Linked DNA regions of Struthio camelus. The main gene of each other region encodes a partner of the protein of the gene in region 2 in a complex. Links are inferred from orthologs where the notes say so. Each region holds a gene or a part of one and is shown on either strand. Other genes may lie near its edges.

What was found. Proteins that work in one complex are often made in the same cells at the same time.
Region 1: PIGA (region 2) and PIGP share a complex: the UniProt entries of both Homo sapiens proteins name them as parts of the glycosylphosphatidylinositol-N-acetylglucosaminyltransferase (GPI-GnT) complex. The link is inferred for Struthio camelus from reciprocal best matches to the Homo sapiens genes PIGA and PIGP.

What each region holds. Positions count from the first base shown.
Region 1 is NC_090942.1:122,278,128-122,285,868, forward strand, and holds the start of PIGP (phosphatidylinositol N-acetylglucosaminyltransferase subunit P), read right to left. Parts: upstream 3,035-7,741; 5' UTR 2,806-3,034; exon of another isoform or gene 2,592-2,805; intron 2,467-2,591; 5' UTR 2,448-2,466; coding exon 2,366-2,447; intron 1,118-2,365; coding exon 1,045-1,117; intron 496-1,044; coding exon 377-495; intron 1-376. Other genes in the region: E3 ubiquitin-protein ligase TTC3, read left to right, coding at 3,993-4,067, 5,419-5,464, 6,697-6,829, 7,245-7,332. UniProt on the Homo sapiens protein: Part of the glycosylphosphatidylinositol-N-acetylglucosaminyltransferase (GPI-GnT) complex that catalyzes the transfer of N-acetylglucosamine from UDP-N-acetylglucosamine to phosphatidylinositol and participates in the first step of GPI biosynthesis.
Region 2 is NC_090942.1:139,536,176-139,544,206, forward strand, and holds the start of PIGA (phosphatidylinositol N-acetylglucosaminyltransferase subunit A), read left to right. Parts: upstream 1-4,986; 5' UTR 4,987-5,064; coding exon 5,065-5,827; intron 5,828-6,368; coding exon 6,369-6,501; intron 6,502-8,031. UniProt on the Homo sapiens protein: Catalytic subunit of the glycosylphosphatidylinositol-N-acetylglucosaminyltransferase (GPI-GnT) complex that catalyzes the transfer of N-acetylglucosamine from UDP-N-acetylglucosamine to phosphatidylinositol and participates in the first step of GPI biosynthesis.

The DNA.
Region 1 (7,741 bases), about 17 Mb from region 2:
CTGCCATTGCCTTGTACTCATGCCTTTCTTCCTATTCCACTCCTCACTCGTTTGTAATGCACGGTACAAGCCGAAGAGACCTTTGTGTGCCTATGTTCCTTTCCTCTCATGATGCCCCTTTTATTAACAAACTACACTTTCCTAGTTGGAAACTACTGCCGTTAAGATAGTAAAGATGAAAGAATCAAGCTCATGGCTATCTTTTCACCTCAGTACATAAGTATTTCCAGGAACTCCTCTCCTGTTTAACTCACCTGAAAAACTAGGGGCTTAAACTTTGAGTCATATTATTTAAACTTACATTTACATATATATATATGTGTACATAAATTGTCTGTTAAGTGTCAAAACCCTCCAAAAATAACAATAAAATTACCTGTAATAGTATGTGTAGAGTTGAGTGGAGCTGTACTCATCATATTAATACCAAAAAGCAAGATATAGCCGATTGCTAGAGTAACTAGTAGATACGCAGGCAATGCAACTGCCCAGTACCTGAGAAATAAGATTTTAAAATTTACTTATCATAATAACAAAATGTCTGGTGACATAACATTTTTAATGTACTGGCTGTTATTGTATACAGCACAAACTTAGCTGGGACGAAAAGAAACACCACCACTAAATATGGACCCTGGTTCCTCCCAGGAAGACTACTAACTATGGAGTCACTGTAGCCAGCCTGTTATAAACAGTCACACAAACTCCTTATAGATGGCTTTTGTTTTTTATATACAATTTAAAATTTATTGTATTTCCATCGGCAAACTTGGTTAAGACAGAATTCCTAACTTATCACAAAACACTGAAATAAATACTACTTCTTTCATTACACAACAAAATATTTTTTATCGTAATTACTTATCGGTATAAAGTAATGCTTCACAAAAACGATAGCCCTTTATCATCAGGAAAAATGTATCAAATGCAAGGCCACCATTTAAAAGATACATGTATAGTTTCGCTATTTGCTATTTGAAATTAATTCAGGGTGTTATAAATGTACGTCTATTCAGGCTTAAGAGTTTAATTGTTTGAACTTACTTTTGAGGCCAGTATGTTAGTCCCAAAGAGAATAGCCAAGTCTCAGGAACGTATGCCCAGATAAGATACAGAACTGCACAAAGAATTAAAAAATCAAAACAGTGCAACCGATACTGTTTTAGACTTCTTCCTTAAGTTTTAGAGCAATACTTCCATACTGATACATACTGTGATAGTGTTTCACTTTCACACAATCTATACCCAGGTAGCTCTAGCATGACATTGCAGAATATATCGCTCATACACAAAACTTGCCGAATATGGGGACAATGTTTTGTACCTCATTATATGCTACCATTTTTGTGTTTAACATTTAGTTTTTGATTTCCTGTGTAGGCAAGACAAGAATTTCATGCAGTCTTGGAACTACAAAACAAAAAGATTCTGCAAAAGCACGCCAAATGACTCTCTGCATACAGACAATATTAAATTACAAAGTGATTATACAGTGGGTCATACGACTAAAAGAGGTGGTAGAACGGCAGGGCTTGGATGGAAGAACTGAATTCAGAAAAAAATAATTACTGAAAATATTTTCAGTCTCTTGGTAAGTTTAACAGTGATCTTCATGTTAACATAACCAACATTGAAAATCTTTCTCCCTAACAACAAATTCAGAGTAAGGTTTAACAAGAACTGAGATGAAGAGTTTAGTAGCCAAACAGTGACACAAAATCTGGAACTGCAGAGGCTTGCTCTGTAGAACTAACACTGGGAAAAACGGAAGCCAACTTAGTTGCATTGCCACTTACCTCCAAGAAACACTGAAGACTTACATAAGAATCCTACTTTTTTGTTCAACTACAATCTATTTGCAATACCTTTTCATTTGTTGAAAAGGTGTTCTCATTTAATTCACCCTTTCTAGGCTATCTTAGTCCTGTGTGGGCATGTAAAACATCCCCAGAGAAATGCTACAGCATCTGTCACATCAGCAGAGAAAGCTGGTAGGGCTGGTCATTTTCCTTTGCTGTTAACCAGACGCGCCTTAACCTTTAATATCCAGGGTTTGGGCACTTGGGGGGCTGGGGTGGGGACGCTGCGGTTACACAATAGCAACTGTATGTGTAATTCAAGTAAAAAAGTTACTAAAATTAGAATGCCGAGAATTTTTTAAATAGGCACTTAATCCCATAGTAGTATTAAAGACAGACAAAACATGAAAGGATCACAAAAGGTAATGCTAGATTCTCAAAACATCTCACAGATCTGGCAAGAAATTGTAATCGTCACCCTTTTGAGATGGTCCAACTGGAATTACATTTCTCTCCTAAGCAGAACAATACTTTCCAGTGAATTATTCAGTACACAATATACTTACTAAAGCCAAACCAAGATCCTAAAAAAAGGGCAAAGCCGTATATTGCTCTTTCTGGCAATGGGGCTGGAGAGTTTTCAACCATGCTGGTCTCTTCCCTTTAACTTCGGGGGGGAAAACAAAAAGAGAAGTATTACAGGTTTGCTTGGTAAGTCTCGCTACGAATTACACGCAAGTGCGGGGATCCGGGGGGGGGGGGGAAACACGACAACACAAATCACTTATTTACCTCCCATGCAGACGTGACGCACCCCACACCAACCGGCGCCGGTGGCCACCTCCCCCCTCCCCGCACGCGCCTGCCGGTGGCGGGAGAGCTGCGCATGCGCTCAGCCCGCAAGGCCCCGCGCGCCGCTCAACGGTCGGCCGGGAGCCGCGGCGCTGCCGACCCCCATCTCCCACAGCCCTTCCTTCCTTCCTTCCTTCTTTCTTTCCCCTGCTACCTGCCTCGGCCGGCTAGGCCATTCCGCCCCCTTCCCTTCGCGTTCCTCAGGAAGGAAACCACACCCAGGGCGCCCTTAAGGACAGCAGGAAAAGAGGCGCCGACCCGCCTGACTTGCCCCTCCCCTTGGTCGCCCGGCGCCGTGTATCTGGCGCATGCGTAATCGGAAAAAGCGCGCTTCAGCACCGCCTCTCCCGCTGCCAGCTCCCGCGGCAAGCAGACGCATGCGCAAAAGCTGCGAGTTCGCGGCGGCCGGAGACCTCTAGCCCAGCGTTGGCTCTCTCCCTTGACGTCAGAAGGCAGCCTGCCAATAGCGGGGCCAGGGCGGGTGAGGGGGGGGGGCTGGCACGTGCGGGGGGAGGGGCCAGCGTTGGGCCCAGCGGCGCCGCGGGTGGCGGTTGGTCTCGCGCTGGCCGTGGCGGGGTCCGGTGAGTGGCGGGCGTTGAGGCCGGGGCGGGCGCTCCCCTCCCCCTCTGCGCGCGGTGCCAAGCTCGTGCCCCTCCCTTGCCCCCGGCCTCCGCCTTGGGGCCGGGAGGGTGACGCCCGGCCCGGCCCGCCTGGGGCGGGCTCCAGCGCAGCCAGTGCGGGGGGACGGGAGCGGGCAGGGCGGTGTGGCCTCGGCTCCGTGGGGCTGCGACACGTCGCTGGTGAGAAGCGCGGCTGCTGCTGGGGCCGGGAGGTGGCGGCGAGGCGGCCGGGCTCCGCGCAGCGGCCCGCGGGTTGCGGTGGGGGGCGAGCTGGCAGGAGGGGGAGCGTGGCTCTGGGCGACGGGAGGCCTCCGCGGTTCTGTCACGCGGGGTGTTTAGAGCCGCTGTCTTTGGATGTGGCAAATGGGGCTTAGTTGCTGTTGCACCCTTCCCCGGCTGGTAGACACTGCCCTTCCCTTTCCTGCCTGTTAGGCGTGAGGCAATAGGAGTGCTGTCAGGGACCAGGCGCTTGCAAAACTGTTGGAGTTGTTAGTCAGTTTAAGTAGTTTTTAACTTGAACAATTATCTAACGCTTTAGGATGCTTTTCTTAAGTTTAACTATGTCACGTAAAAATACGAGTGCATGTTTTCTGTGAAGCTATCACAAATCGTAATGTCATGTTGTGATCATTTTATTTCCTGTAAAGTAAGTGCATTCCTTTCCTCTCTCCCCCACCCGCGTGTGGTTCTCATAATCTTTTTTTTTTCAGTATTATGCACCATGGCTGAGCCTATATCCGAATCTGAATCTGCGGCCATGGCTTTTTATGCTGGTGATAAATCTTGCTGTGAACTGGTAAGTAGGTTTGGAACTAGATGAAAGGCTTGCAAGATGATCCAATGGGTTTTATACCTAGGTATCATCTATAGACTGATTATTGATCTGGATGAACTTTAACTAATGCAAAGATATGCTATACCACTGTAAATTATTCTCTTGCAAAATGCTACATCTGGGTAGAGCACAGAGACTGCATATCCTCTATCACACAAGTTTTACTGAAAAGGTATACAATAAATAAGTAAAACTAGACAGGAATAGATAGATCTTGTTAACACAGTTTTACTAATCTGCTGGCCATGCGTCCAGGCTATGTCAGATGGTATACCTCACAGTAGTGAAATCCATGCTGTGGAGTGAATGAGACGTTCGCAGTGATCCTTCAAGCTGAACCGATTTTGAAATAATTTTTTCCTTCTTTGTTAGTGAGTGGCCAGTTTTGTTAAATATGTTGATAATTTATTTTTGAGAACAAGCCTCAGTTTGCATGTAAAGTTGCAGCAGTTTAGAAATACTACTTTTGATGAGGTCACATGATTGCTTATCACCACTTCAGGTCAAGTTGTCATTGCACAGTATATCGGTATTTCCCTGAGGTCTGCCACTGCAAGAATGAAAGTCTTTAAAGGAAACACTTTCTTGCAGACGTTTGTTTTCATACTTCTTTTTCTAGTCGTATCCAGAAATAACTTTTAGTTTCTTTGAAATTATAATACAGCTGTACATACAGACAAAATACTTACTATTTATTAACAGACATGTACATTATTTTTATTAAAACAGTAGACTTTGTAGGGCTCTGTAAAATGGAACAAAGCCGTGTAATTACTCTTCAGCTCTAGCGGCTGGCATGGAGCACTTCTTTTAAAACTCATTAAAGTTCCATTGGTACAGTGTACTGCTGTGAAATAAATAAGTGAATCAACCTGTGAAGTAAATAAATGAATCAACCACTTTTATTTACTCTACGTACTTTGATATATGTTTATTCACATATATATGCACATACTATTAAAAAATTAATTAATATTTTGAAAACCTGTTATCTTAAAAATGTCTTCTGTAGGTATTCTTGGATATTATGTCACTGTCCATTAGCCAGGTTTGAGTGATCTATTTTTTACAAGAATGCTATGGTAGTATAATTTAATATATTGTTTAAGCTATTAATAATTGTGAGTGGCTGTGAACATTTTTAATTTATGGGTATCTTTTTCAGTTAATGGGCATATAGGTAAACATTTTTCTCATATGAGTGCAAATAAACCATTATGCTACTTAGAAACAGTTAAGTAGTTGCTGCTTGCAGTTGATGTAATGCATTTGTGGGATATGTAATGTTAATAATTAATATGCTTATCATTAGGGTCATGGAGTATTTGTACAGCGTTCTTCACGTAAACTTAGAACAGGTATGTAAATTAAACTAATCTTGCATAACTTTCTCCTATGTACTTCCTGTGCTGTATCTTTGGATTGCTATTTCACTTTTTTCCTTATTTTGTCTCCATATATGTATAAAATTATTTGGTCTCTTCTGAGTGGAAGTATTGCTAAATTTTGAGTTGGAGTAATTCTCATCTTTTTATTGTAATGTAATATGCAGGAGAATACCATAGGTTTGTGAGAACAGTGTGAATACTTGGTTACACTTCCATACACGGTGTCAGTTAATGTTAAGAGAACAGAGATTTTAAACTTTGTTGATTACCTGTGCTCTAATCATAGCTATGTTTTAGCTATGTAGGTCTGAGTACATGCTCAAGATGATCTTTGTAGGTAGAGTGTTGTAATTATAGATAATCTCCTTTCTCCCCCTCTCCCCCCCCCTCTCTCTCTGTTTTGTTTTTTGGGCTTTTTTGGATAGTTGCAGAAAAGTAGATAGCTACACAATACGCCAAGTTCTTCAAAATTATTCCATATACAAAATGAAAACCTACAATACCTAGTCTGTAGGAAACTCAGGTGAATGCAGCTGCCTATGTAAAAGCAGGTTTCGTATATACACAAAACTCTCAGATGCTACTGCTTCTCTTCTGTGGCTACTTGATACCATCTCAATAGTCAAATGAGGATTTTTGCCCGTAAAATACAGTCTCCAAGGGAAATGGGTCATATTTTTGAAAGAGCCACATATCATAAAGAACGGACTCGGGAGGAAAAATAAAAATCACTGCTGAGTTTATGTACCTTGTTGCTACATGCCATGCTACTGTGAAATTATGACAGAAAATAATTAAACAGGTGCAGCTAGAAGCAGCCTATGTTTTGTCTTGAAAGTAGCACCCTTAATAGCCTTTAAACAGCTCACAGCCTTTGTTAGGCTCCTCATTAGAAGCAAGCAGCGTTTATTCAGAGTAATGCAGAACACAGACCACTCGCTCATTGACGAAGGAATGCAAAACTTGCCAGCAGTTCTTTTGTCTCTCCTCAGTGTAAATTTCCTCTCCTCCTTGGATTGAAAAAAAAAAAACCCACAAGTCATCATTTATATTTAGAGTTTTCAAGTCACCTCGTTCTAGTTAGATAATACACAAGAATACACTATGGAAGGAACTGATGTTTTTGAATGTTTAATTGGACTTTGATTATTTGTAATGCCGGAATTGGATAGTTTAGTTCCTAACTATTTTTTTAATTAAAGATGTTGATCCCTGTGAAGCGTGGTGCAGTCAGCCAGTTGACATATTAAGAGAATATTGCAACATTATTAAAATACGCATCTTTTGGCCACTTCTCTTCAAAAGCGAGAGCAATTCTTTGGTAGCCGATTGGAGGTAAGCAATTGTGTTCTTGAAGTGGTTTGTTTGTGTTTTTTTTGTTACCTGTGAAGGGTTGATGTGCACTTTCAATAACAGATAAACTGTGGAAACGCTAAACTATCTTAGCTTATTTAGCTCACTGATGAAAACATTAAGGTCAGAAAACACAGTCCCTGAAAATAGGGATGAAAATATTAAGAATAGGTTTCTGAAGCTTGGAATGTAAGCATGTATTTAAGGACTTAAGTGGATGCCCTGTATTTTAAAAGTACCACACGCTCCTCAGCTATTCTTGATTTTCTTTCTATCGAGAGCTCGGTTTGAGTTTGTAACCGTTGTCTTGCTTAGATCTTAGAAGCATAAATATTAGTAGTTAAAACCATGTAACATAGTGTTATTTTTCTAAATAATAACTTGTTTTGTTTTTAAGCAGTTCACAGATTTTAGACCAGAATTGGAAGAGGCTCTATGATTTAGAGTTTTTGGAAGACCTTGTTGATTTGATTAAAAAAGTTGCTGTAAGTATCATCTTTTAACTTTGTATATGTTTTCAAGTGTAATAAGCTATTTAATTCTTTACTTTATGCAGTTTGCGATTATATCTTAAATTGGACATTTCCTTTTATTGGAGGGAATAGACTACCTGACAGCCGGCTGAGTTCCACTTTTGTAGAAAGGAAGTGTGGTATCGTGGCCTTTATTATACAGTTGGGATAACTTTTGTATAGTGCATAATGCATTTCACCAGGACCTTTTTAGATTGCTGTATAAGAAACTGTCATGAGACTTGTATCAGTGAGGCAAATGATACCTTTCCCCGATTAATAAGCATTTATTTCCTCAATTGTTTTACCCTTGTTCAGTAAATGACATTTAAAATTTACTATTGTTGTTGACTTAAAATAGCTGCATAACAATGCAGAGGAG
Region 2 (8,031 bases):
GTAGACCGTGAGTAGCTGTCACATACTGGGAAGGACAGAGACGTGATCCATGTGTAGAAAGCTCAGGGGCCCAGAAGCCACTCCTGAGTAAGCTCCCCGGTTACTCCCTCGCCCACACTGTAGTGAGACACAGGTGCTGGCAGACACAAGCACAGGCTCTTCCTCTTCTTCACTATCCTGATTTGAGAGAGAAGGAAACCTGGGCCCTTGAATGGGGAGAGAGTTGTAGTTCACAAAGGTCCACAAAGGATGACTGAGGGAACAAGATCTCAGGGTGTGCATTAAGGGCAGAATACAAATGTGAAACCTAAGAGAGAGACAAAGAATTGCTGATCAACTTCTCACTTCTATTAGCAAACTCATCTGCCTTGGATATCCTGCTTGGACAGGACATGTGCCTGCAAAATGGAAAAACAACTTTCTGGAACTGAAGAGAGAAATCTGACTTGAAGATAAGAAGCCATTTTTTGCAGCTTGCATTTAATAGTCATTCCCTTCATGGACTGCACTGCAGTTTATTAACCTTTCACCTTGAAAGCTTTATTTTAAAAAGCACATTAACATGTCATCTCAACCAGCTTCTGCAGGATTTCATCAGTAAGGGAGCTCGTCTGTAAGAAAACCTACGTGGCTGAATAAGAAAGTCATCATTTTTCTTGGCTGCTTTTTGGGTGGTATTGCAGCCAGATAAGGGATTGACTGTACACCAATAAAAACCAGACAGTATCAACCTTTTTAAGGTATTAAAGAAACCTGTTACATCATTTTTACTCCCGACCATGAAAAATAACTGCTGAAGTAGACAGTTGGTCCCTCACTCCCTATTTGTAGGAGTCTAAGAAGAACTGATAGGCTCTCCAGTCTTAATTAGTATATAAAAGCAGGTAAAATGAAAGGAGCGTTCCTCATTTCCTTCAGAACCAAGGCTCCAAATACTAATTCCATCCTCACAACAGAGCACATGTAATTCCATTATGATCAGGGAGTAAAACACCATGTTTTTTCAAACTCCGTGCTGGGCTGCTCCGGGTTATCTTCTTGCTTAGTTTCAGCAATTGATCTTGCTCCATGCTTACAACTACAGACGCTGAGTCTCCACCTAGTAGTACTATTTTTCACTATATTTTCCATTTGGAGCTTAAAGTATTTTCTACTTTCCTCAGAACAGGGAAAGACAATTTCCTTCACTTTAAGCCAGCTGTGTATTCACTGTCCCATCACTCTTTCACTTCCTGACACTTTTTTTCCAGCAGCACCATGGCTACCTACCTCATCGTGGTATCAGGCTCTGGAACAGCACTACTTGGCAGCTTTTTTGTGAACTACTTTGTGAACAACTGATCACCTTTTTTTGTAAATTACTGATGTTCTGAGGCAATAAAACCATGTGCTTTAGACATACCACCTATAAACAAATGTGTAAATTAAGTTCCGCATTCGTGATTTTGTTTTATGAGGCTCACAGAAGTGTACATACAAAATTTTGTTAAATATACAGATTTCACCTAGTATTTCTTTAAAAACAGGGTATGCACGTTAAATGATCTCTGCAGGACTTGTAATATATCAGCTTATCCACCTAGAAAAGCTACTCCACCAAACTGGTATGTTTCGCTCTAGGAAAATATGTCATGGAATCCATGTTGAGGGCAGCCTAACAGAGCTCAGCATGAGGGGAGGCTGAGCGGGAAATGATATAGCACAGTACCTGGCATAACGTTTTTCTTTATTTTCAAGAACACTGAACTGCTCTCCTTGAGGCAAGATGACATCTGCTTGCAGTACAAAGCCACAGGAGTCTCTTTAAGTCTCCATCTTCTCTCTCCATTAACTCAATTTATGAGGGTGCTTTAGAGAGCATTCTACAACCAGGCTTGGAAGCAGTAATTTTTCTGCTGTCACTGATTTAACATCTTTACTCTCTACTTTACATATCCCACAGTCTTACTTTGACCTTGTATGTACTTTAAATGAGGGAATGAACGGATCAAGCTTTGGCATTTAGAAAGGAAGCAAACTTGATTCTCTCTTCATCCGTTGGTCCCTTCACCATTTCACCTCTTATCAGGGCAGGGCAGACTCTGGATCCGCCCAGAATCAGTTACAACTTTATGAATAAACAACTCAACAACATAGACAGGGAAAATGTGAGGTACTTGGTCCTTGTGAAACAACTGTGGATAGAAAATTCATCAATATATTTGCCAAGTATGCAGTAGCAACGATTCCTTTCCTTTCTTTTACGATTTTTCCTAAGCTTGTTGGTAGACATAAATTTTTCAGGATCATTTAAAGATGACAGTGGAAGGAGGCTGCTGGTTTATATGGGATTGTTTTGTGCCAAAGATATGACATTAAACATAACTAGATACGTTTAATGTAGAATGTAGATGTCAGAACATCACAGTTAACGTGCAGAGGTCAAAGGCAGGAAAACTTAGCCGTAATACTTTTCCTGACCTTTAAAAAGACATTCCAGAGTTTATGGCCAACTGCTGAGAAAGCTCTGTATCCTGTCCAATGTTCAGATAAATACAGACAGCCCCGAAATCATAGCTGCTGTGGCAGAAAGGGAGGTTTCTGAGATAATATGGTTCTCTCCTGTGGAAGGTTTTGTGTCAGTGTCCTGAATTTGCACAGTGGTCAGCAACAGCTTATGGACCATGGCAAATTCCACTTCCTTTGCTGAATAGAGGGGCAGCTATGTTGTATGGCAATTAAGGATTTCTCTGTGGATTTTGCAAAGATCACATACAAAGAATTACAGTTTCTCTAGACAGCACACGAGAAATTTGTCAGCAATAGTAGCCAGTCTAAGAAGAAAATAAATCATTTTTCAGATCAGTAAAAACAAAAGTATTTCTTTCTGACAGCTAAAAATGCGGTGACTACTACAGTTTGATTCTTCAGGGCAGTCTGACCCTGAGGCAGCTTACTGATGTGAATTACCAAAGATCATGTGGCGGGGTGCGGGAGCTGAGAACTTCAAGGTGCTTTCCTCCTTCTATTGGCACTACTTCAGTCTCTCCTAGATTTAATCCAAGGCAACTGCTTTACATCCAGGATCCCATTTCTACTGAGAAGTAGGACCCAAACGGCCCACTGGTCCCCTGGATCTTTGCTTCACAGCAGGATACCTGCCGCTGCAGGTCAGCAGCCCTACCACTTCTGGCCTTATGTTCAGTTTCTCACCCTGAAATGCGGATCCTTGCCAGGCATTCCACCTACGAGGAGCGCTTGATGATGAAGTCAGATGCAGCAATACCCGTCTTGCCTCTCTGAACACAGCAGAAAATCAAACAACCAGCAGTGATTTTCTTGTTCAGCACACCAACCCCTTTCAGCACTTCCAGTCCCCAAAATGAAGTGCTTGATTTCTTCCTCCGTCTTTCTCTAGATCACCACCTTCAAGCTTGGTCTGTCCAAGTTTTAATCCAACCTATGATCCAATCAGCACTTTAGTCGATGTCAGTTAGTACTGTTATTATCTGTGCCACAGATAATTGCACAGGAGTGATGATGAGACTGCATCAGGCAAAATTCGTATCGGAAATCTTACTCGGGAGAAGTAGCTGCCAAACGTAATTTTAGGAACATATAGGAAAGACATGAACACCACATAACATCCATTCTTGCCAGGGAGTAACAGATGTGCCAGTGCAGGAGTTGGTGACAGCTGATTCCAAACCGTTTTGAGGAGACTGGAAATACACAGCCAAGCAAGGCCAGCTCAGGTTTTTTAGCAAATCTTACAGTATTCAGTTTTGTTTCTCAAAGTTAAAACTCCTAGAGTGCTTATAAGAATGATGGTATTTTTATTTTTGGTTACAAGAGCAAGTTTCAAGCATTTGTGGCAAAGACTTGAGCACTTGTGGCAAAGACTTGAGCACATCTTTAGAGTTCCTGTTGTGATGAACAAAGCCAAAGAGTAAAGCAGAAAAGCCTCCCCGCTGCGGTGGGCGGGGAGCAGCCTGAGAAGTTTCAAAACAATTCTGTTATTTTACAGCGTGCAGCTCACTTTCATAGACTTTTGACTAACAGGGCTGGGCTGGGTGCGTCCACTGTCTTTCAACACCAACCTACTAAGGCAGGCTTTCCATTGCAGTGGCTTCCACGCTGGTTTAGGGGACTGGATGCAGCATCCCATTCACCAGGGCATGGGAGCCTAACTGGGACAGCAGAAATACTGAGGTTAGGCCTCCCAGCTCAAGGCACTTACTTGCACGCCTCAGCAGGACACCTGCCCACCCCAGGCTCCCCACACCTCAGGTGGGGTAGCCCTCCTTGGCAGGTGCCCGGCTGGGTACAAGGGAACAGCGTGCAACAGGCTGCTGACCAGCTCACACCAGGCAACTCCCTGCTCAGGAGGTGACCAAGGGCAGCAAAACGCAGCGCTACCCTTGGAAAGGGCAAGCAAGCACGGAGGGAACTGAGAAGGGGACGTGAAGGAAACCAAAGCACATTCACACTGCAACGGCTCTAGCCAGAACCAGGATTTATTAGGGAGGCGAGGGGGAAGAGGGGGAAGAGGGGGAAGAGGGGGAACCGGCAGTCCGCAACCGCCTGCCCGCCGCGCCATGACCCCGCTCCCCTCCCCCCCGTCTCCGGCACGCGGCGCCTAACGGCCGGCCCCGCCCGCCCTGGCAGCGAGCGAAGGGTTAAAGCGAGCGTTGGGCGGGGCGCGCGCTTCCGTCACGTCCCTGCTCTCCGCCGCGCTCCCAGCCGTCCCCAGGCCCCTCCCATTGGCCCCTTCTTTTCCCGCCTGACGCGCCGCCGGGAAAAGGGAAGAGGCGAGCCGCGCGGTTGCCGTGGTGACGGCTGCCGTGCCCGGAAACGGCAGGGCGCCCGGGCGGTGCCTGCAGACGCGCCGGCAGCCGGCAGGTAGGTGCATGCGCGCGCGCGCGCGCGGCCCCACGCCTCTCAACCCCCCCTTTCCCCCAACCGCCTCGAGGCGGGCCCGGTTGCCCGGGGTGATCGCCCTCTTAAAGGGGCCGCGGGGCCGCCCCTCGGCTGGCGTCGTTGGTGCCGCCGGGGTGGCGGCGTGGCCTGCGCGGCGGCGGCGGCATGGCTGGGCCCGGCGGCGGCGAGGGGGTAGCCGACGGTAAGGGCGGCCGGGGGGGCTCCTGTCAGCGAGTGACGGCGCCTCGTGGTTGCCCCCGCAGGCGCGGGCCGGGGATGGCGGCCGGGGGGCCGGCGCGGCGGGCGCACAGCGTCTGCATGGTGTCGGACTTCTTCTACCCCAACATGGGGGGCGTGGAGAGCCACATCTACCAGCTGTCGCAGTGCCTCATCGAGCGGGGCCACAAGGTCCTGGTGGTCACCCACGCCTACGGGGCCCGCAAAGGCATTCGCTACCTCACCAACGGGCTGAAGGTCTACTACTTGCCCCTGAAGGTGATGTACAACCAGTCCACGGCGACGACGCTCTTCCACAGCCTGCCTCTGCTCAGGTACATCCTTGTGCGAGAGAGGGTCACCATCGTCCATGCCCACAGCTCTTTCTCTGCCATGGCCCACGACGCGCTCTTCCACGCCAAGACCATGGGCCTGCGGACGGTGTTCACGGACCACTCTCTCTTTGGGTTTGCAGATGTCAGCTCGGTGCTAACCAACAAACTTCTGACTGTGTCCCTCTGTGATACAAATCACATAATCTGTGTCTCTTATACAAGTAAGGAGAACACAGTGCTGAGAGCAGCTCTGGATCCTCAGATAGTCTCTGTCATTCCCAATGCTGTAGACCCCACCGACTTCACTCCAGACCCATCAAGAAGGGATGATAGTACAATAACGATTGTTGTTGTCAGCAGACTTGTTTACAGAAAAGGTAATGGGGGCCGAAATGTAAGTTTACTTTGTTTTTTTGATATCCATATCTGTGGTATGGATTAACTGTGAAATGGGAATTTCCCTATTGTGAGGTGATGATTCTGAATTTTTCTATCTATGCATTCAAGAAGAAGAAATTTCAGTCTGCACACTTGGGGTTTTGAGGTCTATGTCTTCCAATGAAGATCTTGAAAAACTGAAGATTTTGCCATTGTAAAATGGAGGGTTTGGCTTATACTGGGAACCAAGTTTAGGGCCCAAACTATGCATTCTATTAAGAATGTGTTTTTACAATTGTTTTTAATCAAGCAACAAGAACTTGAGTGGTTTTTTTCCTTCCACATTTGTCTCCTAATAGATTAGAATTTGCCTTTTTTCATAATTTTATGTCCAGCAATACAGCTGTCCTTCTGAGACCATGGCTTTTTTTTTTTTTTCCTCTCCTTTCCCTTCCTCCCAAATAGACTTATAGCACTAGGCTACCTTACCATTCTAAAATGAAATACAATAACAACTTACTTTAAATTTTATACTCTTAGGTATAGATTTGCTTAGTGGTATAATTCCTGAGCTCTGTCAGAAATATCCAGATTTACATTTCTTAGTTGGAGGAGAAGGACCAAAACGAATCGTTCTGGAAGAAGTCCGGGAAAGATACCAGCTACATGACAGGTTTGTTCTATGCATGTTTATGGTCTTTTAATGTATTTTAGGGGTGGGGAAGACAGCAGCAACTCTCCTCCTGTCCCTCTTCTCTGCCAAAGAAAGAAATCCAAAAAACTTAGACTGGAGGAGGAGATGAGAATCATTGAGGGCAAGGCAGATGCAGCACACACTGATTGATCACTTTAAAGTTGGACCATGATCCTGCAGGCTGATTCTTATGAATAGACCCTGTGGGAACCTTCAGCAGATTCAGAGAAAATCTGAATTAGACATAAGTTTATTCATATTCCTCTCTGAAATCGTGATGTTCAGGTTACCTCTGCTATATTACCATATAGTGCTATATGGTGTTAGACAGCTAGTTGGTGTGACTGCTGCTCATGAGGATGACTGCTAGTAATTCTGGAATCTTCTTTCTTGTTGCCATTTCTGCTTTGTTGCATTTTTTTATTTTTAGGTCAAACTTTTCAGGATAGTAGTTATCTAGTATGCGTTTTCATGGTGCTACTGTGTTACCAAAGTGTTTCTATGACATATATGTGTCTATATATTTCTTTGGGATTTTTATGAGTAGTAGTTGTTCAAAAACAATTTTGTACAGCAAATACAAGGTTCTTAATTTTCCATTTCCTTTTTACTTCTTCTTTTTTTTTTTTTTGAAGTATTTGGGGTGCATCTTTTAAAAACAAAACAGTTTTCCTTACTCCCTCCTACCAAAAGTTGGAAATTTAGCCTTCATCAGCCTTAGGATATCCTTAGCTGTATCTAGTTATTGCTGTATGTTCTAGAGTGCTAGGTTCACAGTGTGCGTTTTGGAACATCTATGGACAAACAAAAACTTACTTCAGTTCTTTTGAAGTAAATGTGTAAATGGGTAGTGACTACCTGAACACTATCCAAGAAATTTCCCTGCTTGTTGCTTCTTTCAGTTCAGTGGGGAGGAGAGGCTCTGAGCAGCCTTCCATTGTGAAACTTTGCAGCCATCCTCACAAATGCCACTACTGCGAAGGCTTACACTCTCCGGTTTTCTCTTGCATCCAGTGTTCTGCATCTCTCACTGTAGGGCCTCTATCTTCTGTTGCCCGTTCTGTTCTTCAGTCTAATGATTCCTCCCTTTGCTTCCCCCTGGCATGGAAGATAAAATTGCCTGCTAGTATTATTCTTCCTTCTCCCTCCTCTGATTTTCCAATCTCTCCTCAAAATAACAAGTCCTGATTATTGATGTCCTAAACACTTCTTTCCCCTCAGGCTTTGAAATTGATCAGACCTGACATTGCAAATTTATATAATACATCCAAACAAAGAAAATGATGACAAATCTTATTAACTGCATGAAGCAATGTTCTGACAGCATAGTAGCAATGTTTGGAAAGCAGTTGCCATTAAAACAGAACAGGAAAAACCCTTCCCCTAGCTTCATATTTGTAAGTTTTGTGTTATGTGTGTATATGTGTGTGAAAATAAAAAGCAGAGTCTTGAATTTTTTTATTGTTGGCAAAAATGTAAAGAAACTAGAACAGAGGTGTCTGTGTTATT